Styela clava: one gene and its partners. The main gene of each other region encodes a partner of the protein of the gene in region 2 in a complex. Links are inferred from orthologs where the notes say so. Each region holds a gene or a part of one and is shown on either strand. Other genes may lie near its edges. The genes, in order: protein lin-37 homolog, protein lin-9 homolog, protein lin-54 homolog and protein lin-52 homolog.

Region 1 (6,736 bases), on a different chromosome or scaffold from region 2:
GATACCAAGAGTGTTACATAAGTGTATCCTCAGATACCAATGAGCTTGCAATTAATGGAAATGGTCGAAAGCCTCAGTATGGTATGAAATGGTAAAATGCCTAAACAGTATACGGAATAGGAGTTGGAAAAAAAGTATGAATTAATCGTCTCATCATGTATAAATTAAAAACTCTTCTCGGGAATGTGCTAAATTCTAAAATATGGAACAAATAAAATATTCTAACTAGCTTACATAATGCAACCAAAAAAAATCAATACAAAAATGCAAAATAAGGTGACTATTGCATATCTTGATTCATAAGTACTAACCCATGAATCTTGAGTTGTTAAGTGCTTCAATGGCATCTCTCGCATCATCTTCATTGTCCATATGAACAAATGCAAAGTTCCTGATGATATCACAACTTCTCACTTTCCCATATTTTTCAAATATATCAAGAACATCAGCTCTTGCACAATCTGATGGTATGTTACCAACAAATATTTTAACCATATTGAAAGGCTACTATACTAAACTTCAAATTCTGAAATAGAAAATCACATTTTATGTAAAGTAAGGTAGAAATAGAAAGGGCAAATTTTTTTGAGGCGACAAACTTTTCCTCCCAACAGAAAGATAATACACAAACATACGGAAAACATACATAAAATTTAGAATATTTCGTGGCTGCCATAGTCCCCCCACTTCATTAGAGAGGATTAATTAGACAAATATTGTAACAAATGGGAAATCCAATATTCGTATAAATGTCAATCACAATTAGTCGGTCTTAAACAAATGTCACTAAATTTGATGATTATCGTACTATTGTCTCTCTCATTGATAGCAAAATTATATTGTTTCCTGCTCAGTTTAAATTAATAACTCAGAAAGGGAGGTAAAAACAGGTTTCTTCCAAAATAAATTAGTTTATTGTTAAAAACAATATTTCAATTTGGTTACTCATATAATATAAAAATGTGAAAATGAAATGAAAATCTGAATGTGAGAGAATTGATGATTTTGGAAAAATTGAAACCATTTGCTACTTATGCAACAAACACAAAAAATCACTAAAAACAGTTTGCCATTGTATTTCAATGACAAAAAAAAATCTGGTAATATGGGGTTACAGATATATTATTTGAATTCTTGTGTCCCAGGTTAGGGTTGAATCCTACTTCTTTACTAAATAACATTTATATCTCCTCCAATTCATGCAGAGGCACTGTTACTGAAAGGTTTACAGTAAGTCAGTAACGGTGCTCCCGAAGTATGCGAACCAAGATGGCGGACATCGGAACGTAACATGGGTAACAGGTTAGGGTTAGGCGATAATTTTTTTCCAATTTTCCTTATTTTAGTCCTATTAACAGTTCGAAGACTAGCCAAGAGCCTCCCGTAGTATTTATAGCTAAAATTATGGCCTAACCCTAACCTAGTACGCATATACATTCCGATGTCCGCCATCTTGGTTCGCATACTTCAGGAGCCCCTCAGTAACAGTATTATCACAGTGACATTTTATGATATAGTGACTCCTTTATGTAAGATTACTAGCACAAAGTTGCCTGTTTGCCATATCTTTTAATAGTGCCATTCCAGACGAATAACGCTCTTCATTTTCTGCAGATTTTGCAATCCATTTCTCCCGAACATTTTTCCAATGTTGTAAATGATTTAATAGCAATGTTTCTGCTCTAGGTATAACCTTGTTTTGCTGCAAATAATCTTCCAGTCGATCGCTTGGTTGAGGAATGGGTGATGGGATACGTGCACTCACATATTTTCCATTAGGACTAAAATTCTTAAATGGTGTATTAGGGGGTGGAATTGTAACCGGCTCATCAGAGTTTCCATCATTGACGGAAGCCTCATCAAGATCATCAGATGGAATACCATGTACCTTTCTTGTGTATGGATCATTACTCATCCAAGCTCTACAGATTGGATATAACGGAGTATCTTCTGAAAATTGGGCCAGATCAACGCTTCGATCAAATAATTTCATAACACAAGAGTTTGCTTTCTGTTTTTCTTCTTTATTGTCATCTTTTCTTCGACGTTTGCGTGTGGACCTGGAACTAGATTTTTGAGGACTTTCGCTATCAGATATTGTTTTATTTTTATCTGATTGTAGCAACATGTTTTCAATGTCATTTATTTTATCACTGGCAGGAGACGAATCTCCAGCATTAGCCTTTGCTACAATGTTTTGAAGTACACTATCCAAATCCGCTCTTGCTTCATTAAAATCAAGTTCTTGTTCATAAGAATATTGAGACATCTTCATTTGTGAATCTTCTTATCAGTACCGTAATACCTGTAAATGGTAATATCAAGAACCTGAAACCAGTACAGCAGTAGTGATAATTTTTTAAATAATTACCATGTTCGAAAATTGGGGCCATGTTCATAACACGACGTAAGTACCTCTAGTTAACATCACACAGCCATTTTTGCATGGTATTCCTAACCCCCAGTCATTAAAAAATTACATCACTACGACATCACAGTAACGTGATGAGGCCCCCCAAACTATACTAACTACCATCCAAGACGCGCAAATGATTACCCGAAATCGAGCAAGCTATTTCTCGTCGTAACGATTATGATATGAGAGAGATCGCTAGCATTAGTGAGTTCATTATCGTTGGCGAAGATGCTATTTCGGGCAATCCTAGCTAGACTATACTTTGGCAAGCTCCTTGGCATCAGTACGGCACACTATACAGATCGAGAGACATTGTCTCGTTTCAGAGAAACCCATTTTACCGATGATCAAACACCCCTCCTTTGGGAGACGTCTGGACATTGTTGTCCTTCAATATCGATAATAATACAGTATAATGAAGTTGCGCAAAATACTACAAAAAAGCCCAATCTAATAACGTCATCGTTGAATTCCCCAGGAAAAAATAAACCGATTTACAGAAGGAAAATTTTTTTTACTGTGGCATTCGAGAAATTTTACCAAAAAACATCACGAAACATAAAGATAAGTATTGAGACAGGCATGGCGTGATATGAAGATCTGACGTGGTGCCAGACGCCCCTCATTTGTGAGACACATGGAGTGTTTGCTCTATTGAGCCAAATTCTTGGAATCTGGATAGTGTGCAGTATTGGGCGTGATTGTGAGGTCGTGGTGACGTAACCAATGGCGAAACCAGGAATTACATGTGCAAAAATGGTTGTTCCATACCAAATAGAAGGACTCACGGCATTTAGTGAACATGCGTCAAATTTTCGGGTCTAGTATAGTTTAGTACCATATGTACTTCCAGTGGGCGTAGCATAACGAATTTTGCATATGTTATTCCCAAACCTGTAACCCCCACCTGACTATGTCATCCAAAAATTGCGTCACTACGATATCACAATCACGTCATAGAGCGTGCCGAAGTATAGCTACGATCGCCCGTAATGGCATTATCGGCGCCGATAACGAACTCACTAGAGCCAGCAACCTTTCTCATATCGGGATCGTTGCGGCGAGAAAAATAGCTTGCTCGATTTCGGGTGATGATCATCCGTACACCTTGAGGGCTTTATTACGCTACTGGGACATGGTAGTGCAGTAGTGGCGTAATTTTTATGTGACGAAGCCAGGTGGGGGTTAGGAATGACATATACAAAAATTGTTGAGCCAGGCTAACTAAAAGCCTGGAAGTGCACGTGGTACTAAACTATACCAAACCCGAAAATATTCGGGTCTAGTGAAGTAAACGCCGTAACTGCTCAAGTAACGAGTGGAAGTGGTGACTCCTCTTCGGCCCATGGGCCACGGCCCATCAAATTGGGCCTCGGCCCATCAGGCTATGGGCCGCGGCCCATCAAGTTGTGTAAAAAAACTATTCACTTGGCTAACACAAACAGTCCCCAAACTCATAATAGAACTATAATGTAAAAAATCTGAACAAAATTTTGCCCAAACCCTAACCTGGTACACATACTACAGGAGTTTATTTTTTGGTTCGAATATTGACAATTTTGGTAAGATAATTAAATTTTTCCTGGCCTTCCTTTTTTTTTAAATTTTTCCATGTGGCCCAATTAGATGGGCCGTGGCCCCGACCCATGGGTCGTAGAGGAGTCACCACCCCTGTAGCAAGTAACGCCTAACAAAATTGTGATGTGAAATGAACGTCGTACCGCACGGGTACTGCTCCCGTATCGAGTTGTCTTCCTCCCGTTTGTCACATGCGTTTAGCGTATTGTGTTCAGCGTGTGCGCAAGACGGACTTTCATTTTTAGAAAAAATAAATAAATTTGGGTTGTATTTTCACATCATAATTTTGTTATTTGAGCACTTACAGGTACGGTACAACATTCATTTTCACACCACATTCGGACATTTGTGTTGGGGGTATTTAAGCAGGGGCTCTCATGTAGTTTCGTACCTAACGTACTTCTAGTAGGCGTAGCATAACAATTTTTTCACGCGTCAACCCTAACCCCCACCACCACACCATCCAAAAAATACGTCACAGTGACGTAATAGAGCCCTTCAAACTATGCGAACTGTCATCCAAGACGCGCAGACGAGAACGCGAAATCGAACAGCCATTTCTCTCGTCGCAACGATCCCGATAGGAGAGAGACCGCTGGCGTTAGTCAGTTCTTTATCGTCGGCGCCGATGCCATTTCGGGTGATCGTACGAGTATTTGGCAAGCTCTATGACGTGTTGTGACGTAATTTTTGGATGGCGTAGTCAGGTGAGGGTTAGGATTGGCATGTCAAAATATTGTTATGCTACGCCTACTAGAAGTACGTTAGGTACGAAACTACACGAGACCCTTTAAGCTAGGGGTCTCAAACTCAATATACCTGGGGGCCGCCGAAACGGAGCCTTGGTGAGTCCTGGCCGCATCGGGTTTTCCACAATAAAATCATTAAACTTAAAAAGTTAAATCTTTTTCTTTGTTTTTTCTATACGCGAAACATGTCAAAAATATAAATGGAAGTAATATCGCGATGGACCTTTCCCCGAGCATCTACTTCCTTGTTTATTCCGTAACGTGGGCTAATCAGCAGGACGCAAAAAGTGACGTAACAATAGACTTTTCCGCAAACGCTCAGACACTTGTGACTCAGAAAGATTTTCAGGCATGTTTGTAAACATTACCTCGTTTTTGCATGCTATTTGTTAGTTTTGGGTTGTGTTTCAGAAATTCAAGTATGAATCAAAGAACTCAATGATCATTCTGATTGCTTGGGCGTCGTAGCTTAATTGCCGTAATCATAAATTAGTCTAGAAATAGCTGTGATAGACTAGGTTAAATTTCTCTACCGGTACTGTTGAAAAACAGGTTGTTGAATGTTTTGAATCAAATTGATGACGTGAAACATCGCGAAGCCACCTCTAAAATAAGCACCAAGAATTTGTAATGGTGAAGTATAAGAAAATTTTCTTCGGGGTCAAAGGTCCATCGAATATCATGCCTACATGTACGGTACTAGTAGGTTACCGTACCGCATATTCCTTTCGGTGGATAGATTATAAAATATTTTGTTTTGCTCTACTTGTCCTGATCATATATCAAATGCATCAATCATTCTAACTGAGCTGAGTGACTTACGGGCCGCACTAACATTAAACTTTCATACCAAGGCGGGGGCCGCAAACTATCGTCCTGCGGGCCGCAATTGGCCCGCGGGTTTGAGACCCCTGCTTTAAGCAGTTACGGCGTTCGCTTCACGAGACCCAAATATTCTATAAGCATTTATCACTGTATCACATTGATTCACATACCACACCGTTATTCGTCCTTGTTCATATACTGATACTCGCCCGACCTAAACCCACTTTGCATTCGCTTGTCGTTTACCGTACCAATCCCTGCACACAATCACAAAATGTGTTACAGCACTCGCGGCATTTCCCCGGGTGCTAAATAGGCCCCACGCCATTTTTTCCTTTAGAGAGAGAGAGAAAGAGAGATTTATTATTTCGCCAACCAAAATAAAATAACAGTCATCGTAATAATAAATAATAACAATAAATTAGTTTGGTATAGACAAGAGGGAGTGATACGACTAGACGGTCATCAAAGTCAACTCCCCCTATTCACGCAATAATGTTTAAGATTCACAATTTCAAATGACTAAATATAAAGGTGGAACGAACATTCTAGAATTTGATAAATATGATGATCAATTTTTTTATGTTTGCAGAGGAATGTCAAAGTAAGATATGAGACGATTAAATAGCAAACAAAAAATGTAAACAATTAAAACAGTATGAGTTGTTATAACATCAAAATACAATAAGTCTAACATTTTCATTACCGGTATCATAAACCATATTATATTTTTTTCATACCGGTATCGGTACGTACGGGTTCTAACCATTGAGGTGTATATAACTATAGAGGGTTAACATAACCTCAATGGTTCTAACGCGAAAAAATTTTTCAACCACGGCAGCAAACACTGCACCAAAAAACATAAAAAAAAACCACTGGAATAAAGCTGGGAAAAACAAAATGGAGAAAACTATAGATTTTTAAAAGTGTGGATGAAATTAGGAGACTGGATCCTTCAAAAACGTTGCTGCTGTATAGAGACTTGATTTCCGATATCTTTTTAGAAATATTTTCCTATACATTTCACTACCATTAGCTAATTCGGTATCCAATATAATATTATGTTTCTCTATTATAGTTTAATTTTGTCTGCGTGAATGTATGTGTATTGCGTGCGTGTTTTAATTTATTTAATACTTTTGGGTGAGCAAATACGTACCACCTC
Region 2 (7,847 bases):
AGGTAGACAAAGTCTTTCATGGTCCCCTTATTTTCGTAGACGTAGATGAAGTAGACCCAACAAAGTGATCTCATATTTGGATGAAGTTATAATGTATATAACAAAAATCGACTTTTCAACGATGTTTGATGCAATATGAGATTGTAATTGGATGTAATAAAAACTGTTCGGTTATATATCGACTGGTTTTAGTTTTATCTGCATCTTTTCAAGCGATATGTTATCGCAGTCAGCCACTATTCTTTGCAGTTGCGTATATTTAGTGTAATATGAATTTCGTGTTTGAAGAAATAGAATTAACCTCGCTCGACCATGGCGTTTTATATTGCATTTGCCTGCTCAATAATCTGAGCCAGGGTTTGAACGATACACCTGTATATTTCTCATCAATTTTAGCCAAACAAGCATATGGTTTGTTACCAGTCGATCATGGTTCAATACCTCTGAGATCGATGATTAATGACAAAAAAATCTGCGAGAAAACACTCACAAAGTCCTGGAATATTGAGAGTTATAAACTTTCGATGCTAATCTTATATTCCCCTCATACAACTATAAGAGAAAATACCAAATATTCTAAAATATTAATAGGAATGAAGGAACCTTCTATCCGTTCTTCCCAATGTAACGCTATGCGAATTTCAATCACTTCCGTTATACCACGTGACTAACGACAGCGCTAAAAAACGCGCTCGCCGCTGCAAGTGCAGTAAGTATTCTGTGGCGTTTGCAGCTGCCGCAAAACCATGGCGGTGTTTTCATACCATGGCCGCTACGGCCAAACCTATGGCGACTGACTTTTTAGCTGCCACAAACCAATGACGAGCTGCCGTTACCGCGGCAGCAAATTTAAAACCAATGGCAGGTAAAATTTTGCTGCCGTAACCACGGCAGGTGGGGCCGTAAAGACAGGGCTGGTGGCCGTAAAGACAAGACCCTTATGGTGACAAATATTGGGTAAGTTGGAACGTTTTTCTTATGGATACAGTTTTTATGGATTTTGGGTTAGGGTTTAAGTAGATATAGTTCCACATAATCAATTAAAATCTGGTACATTTGTTTGTGAATATACCGTTTACTGATTACTGAATACTGAAAAGCCCTATAAAACCATGGCAAGAGCTGCCGCGGTTCGTTCGTGGCAGGAGCTGCCATGAAGTGGTAAGAACTGCGCCTCCGCCGCTGTGCCACGTTCTCTTCATAGTTGATTTGTCTCTTATTTCCTCGTGGCATTGTTATTCCCGGTGGCGTTGATCGCTTAAAATTAGGACTCTTTGTGATACTAAAAATATCAGGCCAATGGCAAAAACGAAAGCACAATGAAGAAAATCAGATAGTTACGCTGGAAAAATCAAATGAAAACTTTCTTTTCGAGCATATTTAGATGTTAAAAAATGGATGTCAAGTTACAAAAGTACCCGAGACGTTCATGTTAAATAATTTAAACATCAGAATTCACAATAAAATTGTATACTCAGTAACAACTATTAATTAATTTGGAATATAATTCGATCATTTCGAAATAACTGAAACAATAGCATAAGCTATCTGAGAGACGAACTTAGATATATGAATACACAATGAAAAGTTATCGTGTATCGTGAAAAGTTATCGTTAATACTTTTCTGCATTTCACCTTTTCTATATATCTACAGTATTTGTTGGTGGATTATTATGTTTCTTTTTCGAAGTTTCTAACTCGAAGCTGTTAGGCGGTAAAACTATTCAAACAAGAACAACAACAACATAATATTGAAACGATCGTTATGTCCACTACGTGTCCAATAATAAATTGGACTCTTTGTCCAATAAATAGGCAACTTTGTAACGTATAGAGCAGGGGTCACCAACCCGTTGCCCGCGGGCACTAAGTCGCCCGTGAAGACCACATTAGTCGCCCGCAGGTCTGTTCCAAAATAAACTTAATAACGACGCTTATGGGTAAGCTGCTTCAATTAATTTTTGTCACGTTATTCTTGTATAAATCACACTTATGTCTTATTTGGGAACTGGGAACAACACTATGTTAATTGATATGGTAACGATCATCCTAACTTTTATTTGACCTCAGTAATGTGACGGGTCATTTAATACTCTCCCAATTATGACATCACACAGATGTCACCTTCGTGTCCGTTGATTTGTGGAGCAGCAATGCCAATAATACAATTATTGATTTCAAAGAAAATGGCAAAAAATCGAAAGAAAAGCTACCATTTTCACGATGAATGGGAGGTGGATTTCCTTTTACCACCGTGAAAACAGCTTGCGTATGTCTCATTTACGGGGCGATTATAGCGACGACAAAGCAAAGAGACATTTCACATCTTGTCACTATTCATTGGTGAGCGCAGTACTTTCTCCTTGTTGAAAACAAGATATTTATAATTAGTTGAATTTGGTTTCAAATGTAACATTCGGCAATAAAAGTGTTAAGTTCATTTCATCTTAGGGTTATGCAGGGTGTTTGTAAAAAAGTAGGTACATTGTGGACCTGTGGTCTCCGAGGATATTATTGTAGTGATCACTTTAAAATCAATTCGAAAAACACTCATTTTGAAAATGGAAGTGTCATTGCTAGTAATTTATTTGCTACGTTGTGATAATCGTTTGATTTCCTGAAGAAACCTAAAGTTTATCAGTGTTTTTATTAAATATCAGTAATTATCAATATTTGAAGGTTAATCGAGCAAATCGACTTTTTTAAAAGTGTGCATCAAACTGATAGCCCTCGGCTTAATCGGTACCCAGAAAGTAGCCCTCGGCTTCGAAAACGTTGGTGACCCCTGGTATAGAGATTGGAATTGATTAATGGTGCAAACCGTACAAAATTAGCACTTTTTCACGTGACGCACAAGATTTCCTTTTGGGCCGCATTTGGCCCGCGGTCAGCAGGTTGCATACCCTTGATCTAAATAATCGGGTTAGCATCAATATAATACAATTTACTAGCTCAAATAGGAAATGCGTCAACTTTATTTCAGAATATGATACTTGTAACATCACATGATATAGCGTCAACATCAAAACCGAGTGTAATTTTACTGCAAAGTGCAATAAACACGACATTTATGTTCTAAATTCTGAATGACGATCGGTTGTTCAGAATGGGAAATTGTTTAAGTTGTATGTTTCTGTCTTATATCTTTCGTTAATCTAAATTAATATATTCTCACGAACTTCCACTGAGCCCTCCGTTTGTGATATCGAATAATGATGACATTACAGCAACCGACAATAGGAAACATACAAGTAATTTCTGCATGACTCAGGTCTGTTTTAAATACTTTTGCTAATGAATAAATAAACAGCTGAAATTAGTACAGTTTAGAAATTATAGTAGGCGTTGGCCTCAAATTTCAGGGATTTCCGTCAAAAAAACTCGTTCATAACATGGCACCCTTTTAATAATAAATTTGGTCTTTATTAACTGCATATGGCAATGGTTTTAACATGTGACGTCTTGCGTGCCACTTCAAAAATAGCAAGCTAACAATAAGCTACAAATAACAGGAAATGAGAGATTTTATTCTCGAAAACATGTTCAAAATACATGGATGTAACGTAAATAATGAATTAAATAAAAAATTTGAAATGTAAATATTTTAAATGGAAACGGGCAAGATCTAACAAATATTTTTAATTAGCCTCACACCTCGAGGCAATTGTCTTCGCTATTTCTGTATTGCACGCCCTATCGTTTGAGAATCACTACTATATGATGCAGAAATAAACGATAATACAGCGCCACATAACTCAGAGTGTGAAAATTTTTTAACAAAATGTGAGTAACTTAAAATCCAATTTTAGCAAAGGATTTTTTTCCGTAAACATCGATGTATGAATATGCGTTTATAATTACTAATTTGGTTCTAAAGCTACAATGAGCGGCGCTCCAGGAGTGTGTGTACTAATATGGGGTAACTAATTTTGTTCGCCTACTTTACATCAAGTTGTGTAAAAGAAATGAAGTGTAAGGGCAGGAGGTATATTTACTTGATTAACGCAGCCAGTCCCCGAACTAAAGTAAAGAAAACAAATTGTAATAAAATTATGCTCTAAAGCAGGGTGGTCCAAGGTTGTCGGCTCCGCGGGACACATATTTATTTTTTTATTGTTCGCGGGTCACAATAGTGCCAAGAATAGGTAAACATTGCAATACAAAACAAATACTTTTATTGTGCAAACACATAGTTATCAGACATAACCATCCCAGGCTAATAGAATCCGCATTCAATTTTCAGTTTTCTATGATACCTATAATCTTAGCATATATTCCCGACCAAAAATATAGAAAGCCAGATAATAATTTAGACTGCCAAGCACATCATTCAACTACGCTAATTGCCTCGGCTAGCCATAACACTAGTCAATTAGGTGACATTAGTGATGTGACAATATATCAAAAGATTTTTCTGATTAATTTTATTACGAAACAACACGATATGCGATTTATTGATTGCTCCCCGAATGTGACGCGGACCACAGATAATGAAGCGGCGGGCCACATGTGGCTCGCGGGCTTGGGTTTGGACCACCCTGCTCTAAAATCTAAATAAACCTAACCTTGCTACACACACTACGAAAGTACCCAATCAGCTACTTTGGACACGATTTATAATACTTGAATGCTTGACTACCCAAAATTTGACAGCTTTAAAACGAATGTGCACAATTGAAGTATACCATTTGATATAGAGTTCTGAAAATATTATGCGGTTATGACTACAGTTCATTAAAAATTAGTTCATGTTTCATAATTTGACATAGTGCATCGTAAATTCTAGTAAATTTTATGACGTTATTGATTGGGACGTCTTTGCAGTTTCGCGCGAAATCCGCTTGTTGATGATTTGAGAAAGTTAGTCCGTCGTTTCGCCGGTTTCCTGCATATAGCCTACTGAGCAAGGTGCTAAGGCCTAAATATGAGTTGGAATTCTAGTCCGGGTATGTCTCCGAATCGACCACAGAGAAGCAGGAAAAGAAATAAGCTAATATATTATGGTGATGATGACGTCTCGAGCGAAGAGGAAGTTAGAATGAAGAAGCGGAGAGCGTTGAAATTGCTTGAAAGTCCACTTGCCGCGGAACAATCTCCATCAAGTTCGATTGAAAATGAAGCAGTTGTGTCTTTACCTGTGCCTACGTTTGCACCATCTACTCCTGAAACGCCCAGTGGTGCTAGTACCAGCTCTAATATTGCGCAGAGCAGTGTTGCAGACAGGACAATTGCAAAGAAAATAGGTTTTCGTCTAAAAAATCTCCTCAAACTTCCGAAGGCTCACAAAATGTGTATTTATGAATGGTTTTACTCACATATTGATAAATGTTTATTTGAAGGTGACAATGATTTCTTACTTTGTTTGAAAGAATCTTTCCCTACTCTGTCAACAAAGGGTCTCACAAGGGCTCATTGGGCAAAAATTAGACGAATAATGGGTAAACCACGCCGGTGTTCTGGAGCATTTTTCATGGAAGAACGAAACTCATTAAAAAGTAAAAGATTCAGAATTCGTCAACTTCAGCAGAGAAAGGTCAGTGCAGATGATGGGTTTACATTCAACGATCTACCAAAAGAAATTCCAATGTCACTGATCCTCGGTACGAAAGTAACAGCAAGACTTCGCGGATCCCATGATGGCCTATATACTGGACGAATTGATGCTGTTGACGTTTTAAATTCATCTTACAGAGTAACCTTTGACAGAAGAAATCTTGGTACCAAAGAAGTTCCTGATATTGAAGTTGCCAGTGATGACCCTCAAGAGACAATGCAACTCACGTCTCTTATCGATAGAAAAAGGCCATTTTATAATATGTTTTCCCCTATGCAGCCAGATTTTAATGACAGTCTTCAAAGTCCCACAAATGAACATGATCCTGTTTTGGGTCAGTCTCCGTTGCGTAGTAAATTTCCAGGCGGAACTGGTGGTACATTGGGGGGTTTCCCAGTTAAATTCCTCGTTCAGGTGGCCCGCCTTTCAAAAATTTTAGCCATCAAAAAAGAAAACTTACAATTACTCGAGCAAATGAATTCACAAGCGGAAAAAAGTCACTCGTATGGAGAGACTCTGCCTATAGAGTTTCAAAGAAAATATGCAACCGTTGTTTTAGAACTTGAAAGACTGAACGCAGAGTTAAATTCTCTGTTACTCGGAATACAAAAATTTTGTTTAGAGCTCTCTCCTGAGAACACAATTTTATGTGACCAAGGATCGCACGTTAGACAAACAGCTATGGAAAACGCAGAGCAAATGGTAGAGAGTAAAAACTTAACTACAAATGGGAAAAAAGCAGTCAAAAATTGTGGCCTCACAACTCTTGTGAAACAACTCACTGCCATCATGATGCAGATTCGCTATCTCAAAGAAAATAACGGAAATCCTTTCGAATTTAAAGCAATTACAGATTCCATGGATAACATAAAAGAAAAAATTATGCCTGAAAATATGGAGTCTTTCCAAAATAATGTTGAAATTCATATAGCTCATATACAAAGTGGAATGAACAGAATTCGAAAATAACAAATTGAACGACACTTATTTGACATTATTCAGCGATTATATATTGTGATTATTATATATTTATTTGGTCTTATAATCAGACGATCATGATACATGGTTCAAGTTATTGTAGGCATTACATTCCTGGAAATTTTAATCCATGACCTACATGAATTACGACTGTTAGACATTTGTCCCTTATTGAAATACTAATGTGTGAATTGCATTCTAGTTATATACCTCTCTCATTTACTCTTAAATGAAGATGTTTTCACTGCATTTTCTTTGCAGTATTGTTTTGTGAACTCTAATTAGTTTTATAGTTGATGTGTTTGCGACATAGCCAACTAAGACTATACTTTAGCATGACAAACTTATTTTTTGCGAATAATTTTATTGTCTATTAAATTCAATATTACTATTTTTACTACGAAATGATGATAAAATTCAGACATCGAAATTTTTTTGAAGAAAAGACTTTAATAATTAGTTTCCACAGAGTAACTACATCATTTTTAATTGCATTTCAACTTTGAAATAATTTTGTTATGTGTTGTTTATACAACAGACTCGATCACTTTATTTCTGCTATGTGGAATAGTTTGCTCTATAACTGTTTTTTACTTTGTAATAATCCCATTTACTATAATTCATTGACTGAACAAGTAAGGCAGTGGTCGAGTTTAATTTTGGAAAAATAATTAGCTCAATTTATTTCATTCATTATTCTTTCTTGGTGAAACTATTGGTGACTGGCAAAATCTTATCTATGGAATATACATTGTTGAATTTGTACTATTTGGAATTTTTTCATGGTGTTTGAACCTAGATTTCCTGAATGTTGACCCTATTTTCCCTTATGGATCACATTCAAATAATCTTGGCGAAAAATCTTAGGAAAATGTCAAACTGTCTTCCTTATGGAGAGTTCTCTCTTATTCCCATTCTTTAATCAATATCTCAATCGGATTCCTTCACTCGGAAAGAAGTAGTCCTAAATAGAGTAAATATTCTTATTTTCTTTATTTGTATTCGTTTCAACTTCATCTAATGTCTCCTATTTGCTTTCCTATATTATTATAAATTTGTCGTATTTGGATTACATCTCTAGATAAATTCTATTAGCTGTATGTCTAGCTTTAACTATTTGGAAATGGATACAAGACTTCAACCTCTTGATGATATTCTGAAAGACAAAGAAAAGGAGATCACAAAATTAAAGAAAAATTTGAAAGAACTAAATGAAAATTTGATTAGAGCAGCAGAAGCGGGTATAGTATATTGAATATGTAACTCAGAGCAAGAAATTGATGTGTGATTCTGAGACAAAGTTAGTTCTGTCAA
Region 3 (7,557 bases), on a different chromosome or scaffold from region 2:
TTGTCATGTGACACATGTCGCGATTTTGATTATTATTGAGACAATGATAGCATGATCTGACGCATCTGCCGTCGTGCCATATCAGACTGGATTCTGTGGCCCTGGCAGGTGCACGCCTGAGCATGTTAGGGTTACGCGACAAAGCACGCGAGCAAAATTTATTTTGCACGCCGTAATATTTGTGATTGCTCACTATTCACCATTATATCTGACAGTATTGAGGGTGAAGGAATAAAACAGTTGCCAATAAACAGTACTAACAGGTTCTAACATTACAAACTGACCGATTATAGTCAACACGCAACTTTCAGCTTTTACAAACATGCCAAAACCCATGGCGATTAACAACCAAATGGGCCTCTTGGAACGTGAGGCTTTTTGTTATCTTTATGCTTGTGCCGATTAATTGACCTTTGACCTATGCAAAAATACACATCGTCACCGGGACTGTGTGTCAAAGCCCCAGTTGGAATGTTTTATATAACACTACACTTGTTCATTCAAGTTTGCTTCTCAAATAGGACCATTCTGTCAGTTTCACGCTGGCAAATCTAGGTATTCACACGGTTTCGATAAATTTGCAGGCGTGCTCAGAAGTTTGGCATGCCATGTTTGCACTCCGGGATTGTGATTGCATGCCCGATTCCTTTTGAAAAAAAGGCTATGAAATCCAAACCCCCTCGTATCAAAGGTAAATTGAGTGTTTGTTTTATTGAACCGAATGTCGGTACATCTTGGAATATGAGGACTGTGCCCTACTGTATTTTTCAGAGAAAGAGGAAAGTCGATAAGATGACTTAATCATACTATCATATGACAGTAAGACGACTAGGCCGGTCTGGATTTTATGGCCTTTTTGCACAAGAAATCGGGCGTGCAATCAGAAATTCCCGAATGCAAATCAGAAATCCCGGCGTTCAATTATAGATCACAGCGTGCAAAACGAATGTGCCAGTGTGCAACTGACTTTGACTTTAGATACTGTCCAGTACATCCGCATAAAATTGTTGGGTAAAAATATGTTAAATCGGAACAAATGGACATTTGACCCCCAAACATTTTTCTATACTTTGTCATTAATTTTGGGAGTGTTTGTGTGACTTTAGATACCGACACTGTTCAGTACATCTGCATAAAATTATTGGATAAAAAATATGTTATATCAGAGCAAATTGGACGTTTGACCCCCAAACATCACTTATATACTTTGTCATTAATTTTATGAGTGTTTTAACGTAAAATTATTGGATGAAAAATACGTTGAATCAGAGAAAATGGACGTTTGACCTTTGACCCCCAATCATTGTTTCTATATTTTGTCATTAATCTTGGGAGTGTTTTTGCGTCAAATTATTGGACGTGGAATACACTGTGACCAGTGTCGGCAAGGAGTCTGGCAATATTTTCGCCCATAACTATTCTCATGGGATTCTTATCATTCAACACGATGCGCCACACCGGCAAGCAATTATGGAATAAGATCTTTTTTTTAGGATTAGGATTTACATACTTATCTTGTGGGAGAGGAAAGTATGATGGCTCAATCATATGGCTAACCACGGCCTCTTGTCCAGTTACCAGTCCTTGTTGGGTACAGTATGGGATCAGTTAGCCAGCTATTTGTTTCAGTAAGCATGGACTTGGGACTTTTTTGCTTTACATTTTTCGACCAGGCCAAAGCTTGCAAGCCAGTACAGCAGTATGTAGTCAACAATTGTCTGATTGTGGAGCTACAGTTTGTTAGCATCTTTATATTATTAGATTATTGATTTAAAAACCATTTTAACCGATTTCCATTGGTTAGCAATTGCAAATTTTTGGTGTGCAAACTTGAATCCGCTCGCGTGCATTTTTGCGGAGCGCTAGCGCCCTCGAGCGTGCACCTGTCATGGAATCCAGTTTGGCGACTAGGACTGCCTCCTATCCATTTCTGCATTTACTTTCCTAATAATGTTACCAGTCCGCCAGTTCAGGTATCTGTTTGAGATATCAGAATGACTGATGATAACTGCAGTACCGGTACCGGTACCGGTACCGGTACTGGATTAAGGAATTCAGAAATTCGAGCCTGTAAATCCAGAAGTTAGTTCTGGGTAATTGGGGGTGCAAAGGCAGAATCTGAGAATGAGAAGCATCTTCCAGTCTTCGTACTGCAGTAATGTCAGACTGTCCTAAGGCAACAATGCTTAGCACTATTGTCCTCTGCCAACAAGCTCATGATGCTGAATTACTAAATATCAATGCACTTCTGCACTTACAGATATCAAGACATACCGTACCCACTGTACAACAATAACGACGGTGTGGCACATGTCATGCATGTCTGCATGTTGTTGAGCGTTCGGAATACGCTCACCTCCCAGCCACCACAATCCCATACCTCTGTACCTGCATATGTACAGCCATACGGGTACCACAGTACTGCAGTACCACGATATGTGATACCCGACACTCTGACATGAACTGGTAACCGGACTGCCGAATGAGAGGCTTTCCATAGGATTAAGTCGTCTTAATGGCTCAAATATGTAAATTCGATCCGATAAACCACACAACAGCATTGACTGAGCAGTTAAGTCTGTAAGTGCTGAAGTGCAAATGTCGGGAAGTGCCTGCCAAGCATGACATAAAACTGATTAAAATTTGTTATATCTGAGCATATTCTGTAATAGTAATATCGACCTGTTGATATACAGATATACGAGAATTCAATTGCTGTATTGACAGATTCCTGGATTCAGGAAAGGCAAATATCCTGGATATAGTCCACTCCGCCGTTATTTTTATTAACCTGAATACCGTTACCGTACATTGCCCTGCTGTATAGAAGTAAAAGCCATAGCAAAAATTTCTGAAAATATGTAAATATATCTTACCTCGCAATAAAACGTAGTAAAACCAGGCATACAACAACTGACTAGCAAAACAGAAGCACAGGCAGCAAAACGTCTTTCAAAACTTTCCGCGATGACAATCGCCCATTTTCGTCAGGTGATCAAGGTCGATATGACATCATGATGCGGTTCATCGACGATTCAATTTCGCGCCAGTAAAAGCCACAAATCGATTTTTATAACAAATATGGATAAAAACAATTGAAAATATTGGGCTATAATTCTGATTAAAAAGATATTATTCTTACTAATAATAATACTGTATGAAGTAGGTGTGATATGAATCGACTGCAACTCTTCTTGATATCTGCATTATTCTATACTAGCCAACGACTAACATACCGATACTAGCCGTACGCCTGCAATCGAATGAGACTGGTTTTCTTAAGAAAACATTAGTATTAGAACTAACATTTTTATATAGGGGGAGGAGAGTCGATGACGGCTTCGTCATATGACAAACCACAGCCTTTCGTTCGGTTACCAATTCATTTTGCGTTTGGGATTATTCAGCCAGTTATTATAGAAGTCCCAAATGGCGGAATTCGGAATACAGTAACTCAATATGGACAAAAGCCGTGATAATGTCACAATCGAATTGCATCAATTCATAAACATGAAATACTGGTTAATGTGCTGAACATATTAAAATAAATGGACAATTCACCAAATTCTCAATAAATATATATAGGCTACAGAATTAAACTTGGGAATAACAATCATGTCATTGAGGTAATCGGCCTTGGTTTTGGTTTATCCCCGTTGGTGAGGATTAGAAGTATCTTATGAATAAGTCATTACTAAATAACTAAATATTTTTAAAATATAAGCATTAATATTAATTTTTGGAAAAGAAATGTAGGCCTACATGTAGATTGCTCTTATTATTGGACACGAGGTAGACATATGGATCGACTTGGTGTGGCATCGTTGTTGTGGAAACTAAGTACTTATTTCCAACTACTGGGCCAATTGCTTTAGAATTGTCAGTGGTTACAGCTTGTTGTCGTTGCTAGAAGCCTTATACTTTTATTTATTTCAAAAATATCTGTTGGTTCCATGAAATTTGTTTTTCAATCGAAGTTTTGTGTGATGAGGTCAACAAAATAAAAATTTTGTGCGTAGTTCCGTGATCACATTTAAATGATCCTGGGGACAGACCAACGACGACCGCATAAAAAAAATAATGTCCGAATCGAACAGTATGTCAGGTTTTTAGCGCACAGCATGTCGGATATTTGAAATCAATGAAAACTTTGTAACTTCAGCTCGAACAATAAACCAACGGAAGATCTTGAAGGAATGCCTATACATATGATAAAACTCGTTTGAACGTTAGCGAATGGATTCCTTCATATTTTCCGTATCTGAACACTTGCGTAATACTTGTTTAAGACATAGTTAACTGGAATTCTGAATACGTTGTCGATCCAAAATTTAATAAAATTGTCTTCGATGAAACGTATGTTAAAATACATACGTTAATACTATTTTTGACAATAAAGGGGTAGTGATTATGGAGTATATAGGTCTACAAGTTTTTTTCTATAGTGATATTTAATATTACTTATGAATCTTCATGAAAATACACGGCTGACTGTAACATATAGTCTATTCTAGTGCAGCGTTTCCCAAACTGTGTTCGTCTTCCGAGGAAAGGGGATCAAAATTACGACTAAATTGGTCCCCATGACGATCTCGGGGTCGTGAAGTTGTCGACCAACTGGTGATCGTTCAATATCGCGTCACCGTCGTCCTGAAGCGGACTAACTTTTTGAGGGTAGTAGCATTTTCGTTAACCGTCAGCGTAGAAAGGTAAAATGAATTAAACCCTTAGTATGCAAGAGAGTGCGAAACATGTCATCGGGGGTCTTGAAATTTTACACTAATAGAATTCCCCTAATAAACAAATTCTGTATAGACTCTGTCCTCCAATTCATCTGTCTCGCCCTTTTTTCTTTGGTCAAGGATCAAGGAACGAAGCATTTCTCACAATTCACGAGCTGTTGGTTTATGTCTGAACAAAGTCCTGAATTATCATTTGAATTTTTGAAACCTCGAACAAGTTCCTATTTAAGGATATGTTGTGGAAAACCCCGACCTAGTCAAACGATGTAACTTTCAATTCACAGCAAAATTAACCAGGCAGTTCTGTCCTATAAATATTATATTTATTCTAAGTAGCCCAAAAATTGTAGTATATCAACAACAATATTGTGAACAATTATCATTCGTGATAAATAGCGTAAATCGTCGCCGTTGCCCAAAGAGTTGAATTAGCAAAACTGGCTCCTGCCCAGTTGTCACGTTTGTCGTCCCAGAGACATCTACTACCGACTCTTACTCCTTGATCTTTTATCTGTCCAATATTTACCAGTACAATAATCTTATGCCTGAAACGTAAAAAAATGTAAAGCCATAAAAGATATCGAAAATGTTCTTGTAAGTCATATTATTTCAATATTGGCGCAAATGTTATCGCGTGTCCTGTTTCTATAATAATTATACGAAATCCCACCCATAGTCAATATAGTATGAAATACCTCATTCAGAGCCTGTATTGTAAACCTCAATCAGATTAACTCAACGGATAGGTGGCGACATCAACAACAGTATTTGAAATTACGCACACATACATATCTGTTGCTGTTGGTATATAATATGGCGAATCTTCGTAACCGGTAAGGGAGAGAGCGTCAAAATAATGCTGTATCGAAGTTTCGTTGATATTGATTATTGAAACTACAATCTCAATAAAGGGAGAATTAAACGCTATATTTTCTATGAGAGCAATATTTTCTTAATCGGGGGTCCGCTTACCTCAAGGGGTTCAAAGCATTTCCAGTGGGTCCCCCAAAATTGTACTTTTTTATTATTTAAACGCTGTATTACAAACTCAAAGGATGCGCTTGCCAGTATACAATAATTATATCTTTAAATAATTATTGCGATTAAACAATTCATGGATTAACGGCCGATTAGAGAAACCCGAAGTGAATGTAATATCCCCTTATAGTTAGACTCATCATATATATGAATTATGAAACAAACAAAAAACGGGACATTGGGCAAGCCTTGGTGCGATTCCGAGACTTAGTAATATTTTAGTATCTTAGTAACATTCAACTCATTGGAAAACGAAAACTTCCTTCTGAGCATTTCGAATAATTTAATGTAACATATACTAGTAGTTCTCTCTCACTCGGAAGTAAGTGGCAAATCAGTGGTGAATGATCTGCTCGCGCCGAGAATTTTTTTTTTGTATTAATATTTAATATAAAAATATATTTATAACTGCCATACTGTATGACCGGGACATTTAGGTCCACCGGGACGTATAGTAAAAAGCCTACTTATAGTAGATTTAACAAACAAAGCACTGTATTCGTTCAGAATACTACGAAATGACGTTACAAATCGCTAAGCAAAAAGCCTAGCACGATGGGAGAAACACTAGTAAATCTTAAAGAGTTGAAGATGATACAGTGGATTTGGGGAAAACTAGTGCCAAGAAAATCCAACAGGTCCCTTTGTTGTTGCATGTTTTCATGGGACCGGATTCTAACTCAAAATTACAAATTATTAAAGTTGTGTTGCCGCACTGTAAAGGTACGTAACTACGTTGGCGAACGCAGGGATGCGCAGAAATATTTAAAGGTTGAGAATCACTGTGTTAGACAGTTGTAACCGAACGACAGATTTAGTCTCTTAGTTACTGGCGAACCGGAAGCCGACAAACAACATCAATAGCCGTGTTGTATATCCATGGCATCTTTCTTAGACGTAGAGAGAATGAATCGTGTCTAGCCACCAAAGTCAGTGTGATTTGAGAGCTGATAATGTTTGAAATTCGCAACGAAATGCCCCAATGAAGTACGGTATTATAATAATTTGCAGTTGAACACACCACAATCAGGAGCCACTTCTAAAATTCCATAATACAACCCTTTCACCTACAATAGGATATTTACGGGTGCTGAAAATTGTGATAATTTTATGGAATATATATGAGTTCTGAACCTAAAGTAGGATTTTATATTTATCGCAAAAATGGAGTACTAAAAATTGCAATCAATAATTCAAATATAATATATGTTGGAAATTTAATTCCTACACTATATCTGTATGACTATTCCGAACCTGTGTGAAATAATTTTGAGTATGTCACAAAATTCAATGCTTTGCTCGGAAAAATCGTTCCTCATTTATCCGCTTATAAAAAGCACGCTTATAAAAAAAACATACCGAACGCCATGTCCAATAGGGGAGTCTCCACTTAAAATAACACAATCAGTTTTTCGTCCCCAACTTCTGTGATTATAATTCAGACACGAAGTCACGACTCCACGCTTTTACTGTAGTATATATTATAAAATCGATGCAACTCAAATCATTCGTTTTTAGCGCGATCTGACTATAATGAAGGTAAAAAACAAAGGATCTTTACTGTTCATTTCATTTCTGATGAAATGTACGCACCTATCAAAAATTTTGTCGTTGTTTTAATGCACTACAATGCAGATCTATCTTCAACCATATTTACAATCTTTTGTACAATTTCCAGACATTTTGCTTTTATTTCAATTTTATTTTCTGTATGTTGTGTATCAAAATATCGGAAAGAATCACGATACACAAACTGCTCAGTACAATGGCGCGATTC
Region 4 (5,575 bases), on a different chromosome or scaffold from region 2:
AAAAAAAGATCAAGCTGAAATTTACAATTCAGTAAATTTAGGTGGTACAAAAGAGAGTGAGTGGCACAAGCCCTAGTGGTTGTAGCCTTAGGCTTGAGAGTGCTGGCATCGCAGTTTACACAACTCTGTTTCGAATCTCACAACCTTACCTATAGTGTAATAAATTGAGTAGGTAATGCCAATCCAGATAGATTACGGTCTTCCCAAAAACATTAGCCCCTATAAATGTTAAGTTAAATATCACTGGCTGCTTTAACAGGGCCGTGTTCAGAGCAAAACGCACAAATAAGTGTTGTAAAAAGTTATGAGGGTTACAGAATGATAGATGTCATTCAAGAAATGAGATGGCACAATTATCTATTTATCTGGTATTGTGATTTAAAATTTGTTTTAAAAAAGTTTTTCAGCAATGTGGAAGAATTAGAATAGACTTGTACTCTCACCCGTGACACTTGCTTTCATAACTCTTTGAATAATGGCCTTCATAATATCAGCATTTGGCTATGAAACTTAAACAAAGCTAGAGAACAACAGATAAAATATTGCCTATAAAATTGTATTGAGTATAAAATATAACAGACACAATTTCTGCCACCCAGGCCTTGTATTTAAAACACACTTCTTTGGTATAGAGAAAATCAACAAATAAAGTAAACAATATGAGGCCTGCAGTAACAGCATAGCACAATAATGCAAATAGTCTCATCAGCTTGGTGAGATAGCGAGATATGAGGATTTCGTAATAAAACATGTTCTGCAGGCAACGTCGCTTAAGGCTGCTCTAACTGTCATGAGGATGATGCAATACAAATTTAAAAACCAAGGACACCTTTTAATATCAATCTTAATATCTTTATTTGCATTGGAAGGATATGGAATAAATGATTCTATCTCCACTCTATGAATAGAGAGCTCTATAATTTCAAATTAGAAGCCATCATCATAAACATTCAAATGCTTCATTTTATGAGAAACTATATTTTTGTGCATCACATTTTGAAATATTTAGATTTGGTATGTTAACCAAATTGTCAATGTCTACAATCAACATCGGTATTTAAACAAGTTTCTAATACTCCAAAATCACAGCGCTTTCACAAGCTGGCTGACAAAGATATTACAGTATACAGTGAAAATTTGTTTTGTCAAGATATATGCATTGAAGGTTGCAGCAATCGTCCATGCTTATGTGATAAGCACATAATAACTGATAGAGATAGTCTCATATATTTTTATATCCATATACGATATTAACATACTAAAGCATTTTTTGCATAAAACAGCCCCCTCTCACTAAATTCCAGTATTTTAACATATAAATATTTATGATTTTTCCATATATCAACTCCCAAACAATTTTCCATTTCCGAGAATGTTCAAAAATTTTCCTCTTGTCATTTCACGAGATTCATCTAGTCCTAGTTGATAAGCAAGGTTTTGTAATCCACGAACTTTTTCCAATAAATTTGCAGTTGTTAAACTACCAAATTCCTGTAGCATATCAATATCGTCCTTTTCTAACTCTGCCATCCATTTTGGCGGTGATTTAGGTGACATCGGACTTCGTAACGCAGACATAAAATCTGACACACTCGACAATTGTTCTGGCCATAGATCTGGAGAAGCTCTATCAAGCTTTTCAAAGCTCATCAACTGTTCGTCGATATCATTTGGTTCAGATGAACTGGCCATGCTTTTAATATATAACTAAAACTATGTCCAAAAACTGAGAAAACAATTTAATTCAAATCACATGTTGTAATAGGCAGATAATGCATAGTACAAAGCTTACAAGTACTACCTAGTACTCTAAAATGATTTTGTTCAAATTTTGTTAAAAAAGCAAAAATGAATCCGATTTAAATACAAAATATTCAACGAATAGCGAGATATCTTGTTGCTACATTGGCTATCGATTGTTGAAGTACTTGGTGTTCAATTTCAATATTTGTCAATTTCATTCCTCTCGATTTCAAAGCAACTAGTATTTGTACAAGAAGCATTACTGGCAAAATTAGTCTTATTGTTCAATAAAAATAGCACTTTTTTTGCAGTTTTGTTGAATAACAGCATTCTAATTTACTCATCAGGTACGAGATTCAATACCAAATGGAAAAAAACAATCTTGTCAGACTTCTATTGAAAAGGGCACACAAATAAAATTTTACATAGCACTCTTGTCTAAAATTATTGAAAACATGCATGAATACTTGCTAAAATACTTGAAGGAAAACATTCTAATTTACTGCTTTGCTTGATGCAGGAGATGGAATATGACTTGTGCAATAACAAATACAAATATTGCTTCATAAAAGAAATTGGTTCAGTTAAAAATACAACTTTGATGAATAATTTTGATCAGATGCCAAAAAATTCTAAAACCCATTTGGTTATCATCGCAAACAAGTTTGTTTTTATTTATTATAGAATTATGTGATGAACCACATTGCATGCAAAAACAATATGCAGGATAAGATTTTGACCGAATGGAAAAAATGAATAAATAAAAACATTATGCCTTTAAATACTTCGAAAACATTGCGCAATAAAATATTATCTCTTCTAAAATAACTACAACAGTCCATGTATAAGAGAGTGTATTTCATCTGCACCCGATTGGTCTACTAATAAAAATTGGAAGTTTTTTCAGCCATCCTTCGACTTTATTGCTGCTTTTTCATAGAATTTTTAACATATTCTTCAGTGGCTTTCCAGTAATAAATGATTTGAAAAGATATTACTGCATTTGCGATTGTAGAAACTATATATGTAAGAATAACAATGTTGTCTCCAGTCTCTTGTATTGAAGTGAAAATTCTGGCAGTTGAACCAATGAAAGTCAGGAAAACAGTTATAGCCGACAGCTGTCCAGTGTGTCCATTTTTAATGCTTTCAGCTGCCTGAATCATCTTTGCTATAACTATGGCAGGCATGTTGCTTGCTTGAAGCGCTGCAAGAACATTTGTGGGAGTGATACCAGATACCAATACGAACAGTATGACGGAGTAAATTACAAGGAAGACGATGGCCAATTGAGGTTTACCTCGGTAGTATTGTACCAAGCAGGCTATAATTGTGACTTGGATGAGCAAAAAGAATGAATCACCCCATGCACTGAATGGAAAACTTCTAGCAATGCTGTAAGCACACATGGAAGTGATTGCATACAATTCCAACAGTACAGAAGAAAAACTCATTCCCACCGCACTTGATGACTTCAACAACTTTTGAATTTGAGGTACTTTTACAAGAACTGCTCCCATGATAATACCATATCCTAAGCATTTGCTGATCACTGCTTTCAGACATGGTACGTCGAGAAAATTGAAGTCAGTAAAAAAGATCTCATAACACACAGGAGTCATTAAAAAAGACATGAGACTCCGAAAAGCTTCCATAATGTAAGGTTTTGTCAGTCTAAGTACAGTACTTGATATTAAATTTTTAACAATAAGCTATTAGTTAACTGTATATTGTACAAAAATATTGATCTTTACTACCATTGAACAACTGAACATACAGCAAAGCAGCGCCTATTGTTTACTAAATCAACCATAAAGAGCAGAAGATCATAAAACAGAACTGACTAACGGACAATCAACCCAATCATACCAAAAATCTGTTATAGCTTATAGGCTATGATGCCTAATAAATCAGTACCGGTAAATGCAGAAATGAGTGACAAGTGACATACTGATGTATTGAAACATTCAATATGCAGATTCTTTTGACATCTTTTACTAATTTTATTAGGGCAATATCTAAGATACCTGGATACGTTATCTAAAGTCATCAGAGTCCTCAGCAAATTATCTGTAATTGAAGATAGACGTGCTTGCATCAGAATTTCATTTCATTTATCTTATATTTCAATTGACTATCCGTCCTTTGGAACCCGATATTGTACCGAAAAGTTTATTGTTTCATTTTAATTGATAAAAACACTTTTCATCCCGCCAAACATGACCGCCCTCGTCGCGTTTGTCAGCCGTGTTGCTCAGCAAAATCTGTGACTGCTGCCTTTCAAGTTAACGTTGCATACGTGCCCGCCATGAGTCATGACATGTTATAGTCCGGCAGATAAGGGGACCTTTTTGGCCAAGTTTGATTTCAGATATAAAGTTTTTAGGATAGGAGGATAGGATTTACATATTTATCCCGGGGGGGGGGGGGGGGAAAGCCGATAAGACGGCTTATCCATATGGCGAACCACGGCCTCTCGTCCGGTTACCATTCCAAGTCGGGTATGGGATTAGATTTTACTGTATTGTTTGTTTTCGGAAGCATGGACTTAGGGGTGGAGGAAGCCGTAACCGACCAGCGGTTACGTGAACCACCCACCCAAGGAGTCCAGCAATCCTCTCGCACATAACCATCCCTGCATGGGATTCGAACCTGCGAACCCACGCAGAGTAGTTAGAGGTGCGGTGGCGAGCGTATTCCTAACGCTTAGCCCTTTGAGCCACATCTTTTTTTTATTTGTGATTATTCATCTTGGGGTCATTGCCCATCATTTCTACATGGGTGTGGAGTTTGCAGCCTTGAGCAGCGGCTCGATATTTGTATTATTAGTGTTTTTCGTCAAACCTGTGCATCATAATGACGCACAACCTGTTACAATACTATGTTCAGGTTGTGCGCAATCTTGGTGCACAAACTACGCAAGCACCAAATTTACTAGGAAATAAAATCAATAACTTTTAGGTATTTGTTGAGCCCAGCTTTGGGTCGCGACCCATATACTGTACATATGTAAATACTGTCGAAAGAGAAACATACGCGTAAAATAAAGAGTACTATTTCAAAATACCGGTTTTTGTTGCAATTAACAATACAAGCCTGCTAATGCAGTCGCCAGTGGTTCAAGTTGATATACACCCTGTGGAGAACAGTCAATTATTTGTTAGCGAGAATTATTATGCAGCGGGATGATCACGACGACGCAGTGAAAGATAATGATATCACGAGAACAAGAATGAGTAAATTGCTACATTTTATAGTATATCCCTGGGAAAGAATGTAGTTCATTCTTATGTTCCATGCCAATGCTTTTCAAACTACCAAAGACTCTCAACACTTTTGCTTCTTATCTTCTATAAAAATACATTGTTATATATTATATATTCGCATTTCCATCTGTTTGTTCGTGCTCCCAGATAACCGATCAGCGGCCTCCAAGGAGGACGGGGTCCCCTTTTAAGAAACCCTGTCATAAACTAAAAGAGGCGACCGTGCTTCTCTTGCCTGTTGTCATGCTGTCCCTGGAATTCAGCTACAACAAAAATTTCACGAAAACGGATTTTTAAATTTTATGATTTTATTAATATTCTCAACAATGAATGATATACGGGTGGTAAAATGCCAAGTTATTCCAACAACTTGAACATGTTTTGCAATTTACAATCAATATTTTGTATGTAACTTTGTTTGACAGAGCCCCAAAAGCTCTAACTACAAATATCAAAAATGTGAGGCCAAAATAGTCACACTACAACATTGTCAAATGTGCTGTATTTACGATAGATAACAGGTTTACCAAAAAGAATTACATGAAAAATGGTAAAATAAAGATCAA

The links.
Region 1: the proteins of protein lin-9 homolog (region 2) and protein lin-37 homolog are in contact, whole or in part, in a crystal structure (PDB 7N40), measured with the Homo sapiens proteins. The link is inferred for Styela clava from reciprocal best matches to the Homo sapiens genes LIN9 and LIN37. Residues at the interface, in NP_001353174.1 of Homo sapiens: Lys99, Ala101, Ser102, Gln103, Lys104, Ile105, Gly106, Arg108, Leu109, Arg110, Leu112, Leu113, Lys114, His119, Trp121, Cys122, Ile123, Glu125, Trp126, Phe127, Thr227, Leu237, Phe238, Leu272, Ser273, Asn274; in NP_061977.1 of Homo sapiens: Tyr95, Ile97, Leu99, Phe100, Asp101, Arg102, Val104, Leu106, Ala107, Phe109, Ser110, Glu111, Asn112, Thr113, Pro114, Leu115, Tyr116, Ile118, Cys119, Arg120, Trp122, Met123, Asn125.
Region 3: protein lin-9 homolog (region 2) and protein lin-54 homolog share a complex: the UniProt entries of both Homo sapiens proteins name them as parts of the DREAM complex. The link is inferred for Styela clava from reciprocal best matches to the Homo sapiens genes LIN9 and LIN54.
Region 4: the proteins of protein lin-9 homolog (region 2) and protein lin-52 homolog are in contact, whole or in part, in a crystal structure (PDB 6C48), measured with the Homo sapiens proteins. The link is inferred for Styela clava from reciprocal best matches to the Homo sapiens genes LIN9 and LIN52. Residues at the interface, in NP_001353174.1 of Homo sapiens: Leu335, Gly336, Phe338, Phe342, Leu343, Ile344, Val346, Thr347, Leu349, Ser350, Lys351, Leu353, Met354, Lys356, Lys357, Ile360, Leu363, Arg364, Asn367, Thr368, Ala370, Glu371, Lys374, Ile382, Phe384, Gln385, Tyr388, Ala389, Val392, Leu395; in NP_001019845.2 of Homo sapiens: Asp61, Met64, Leu65, Leu68, Gly69, Leu71, Thr72, Thr73, Leu76, Met77, Val80, Leu83, Gln84, Leu86, Ala87, Leu90, Asp93, Glu94, Glu97, Met98, Arg100, Gly101, Leu104, Asn105, Ile106, Leu107, Glu108, Pro110.

The regions. Positions count from the first base shown.
Region 1 is NC_135253.1:13,439,335-13,446,070, reverse strand, and holds protein lin-37 homolog, read right to left. Parts: upstream 2,439-6,736; 5' UTR 2,276-2,438; coding exon 1,526-2,275; 3' UTR 525-1,525; downstream 1-524. Other genes in the region: uncharacterized protein LOC120326047, read right to left, coding at 312-495.
Region 2 is NC_135259.1:13,480,133-13,487,979, forward strand, and holds protein lin-9 homolog, read left to right. Parts: upstream 1-4,822; 5' UTR 4,823-4,925; coding exon 4,926-6,524; 3' UTR 6,525-7,619; downstream 7,620-7,847. Other genes in the region: protein Spindly-like, read left to right, coding at 7,633-7,774. UniProt on the Homo sapiens protein: Acts as a tumor suppressor. Inhibits DNA synthesis. Its ability to inhibit oncogenic transformation is mediated through its association with RB1. Plays a role in the expression of genes required for the G1/S transition.
Region 3 is NC_135260.1:20,924,120-20,931,676, reverse strand, and holds the start of protein lin-54 homolog, read right to left. Parts: upstream 3,027-7,557; 5' UTR 2,877-3,026; intron 1-2,876. Other genes in the region: dynein light chain Tctex-type 5-B-like, read right to left, coding at 5,122-5,287. UniProt on the Homo sapiens protein: Component of the DREAM complex, a multiprotein complex that can both act as a transcription activator or repressor depending on the context. In G0 phase, the complex binds to more than 800 promoters and is required for repression of E2F target genes.
Region 4 is NC_135251.1:22,036,052-22,041,626, reverse strand, and holds protein lin-52 homolog, read right to left. Parts: upstream 1,693-5,575; coding exon 1,342-1,692; 3' UTR 521-1,341; downstream 1-520. Other genes in the region: D-aminoacyl-tRNA deacylase 1-like, read right to left, coding at 444-486; mannose-P-dolichol utilization defect 1 protein-like, read right to left, coding at 2,664-3,398.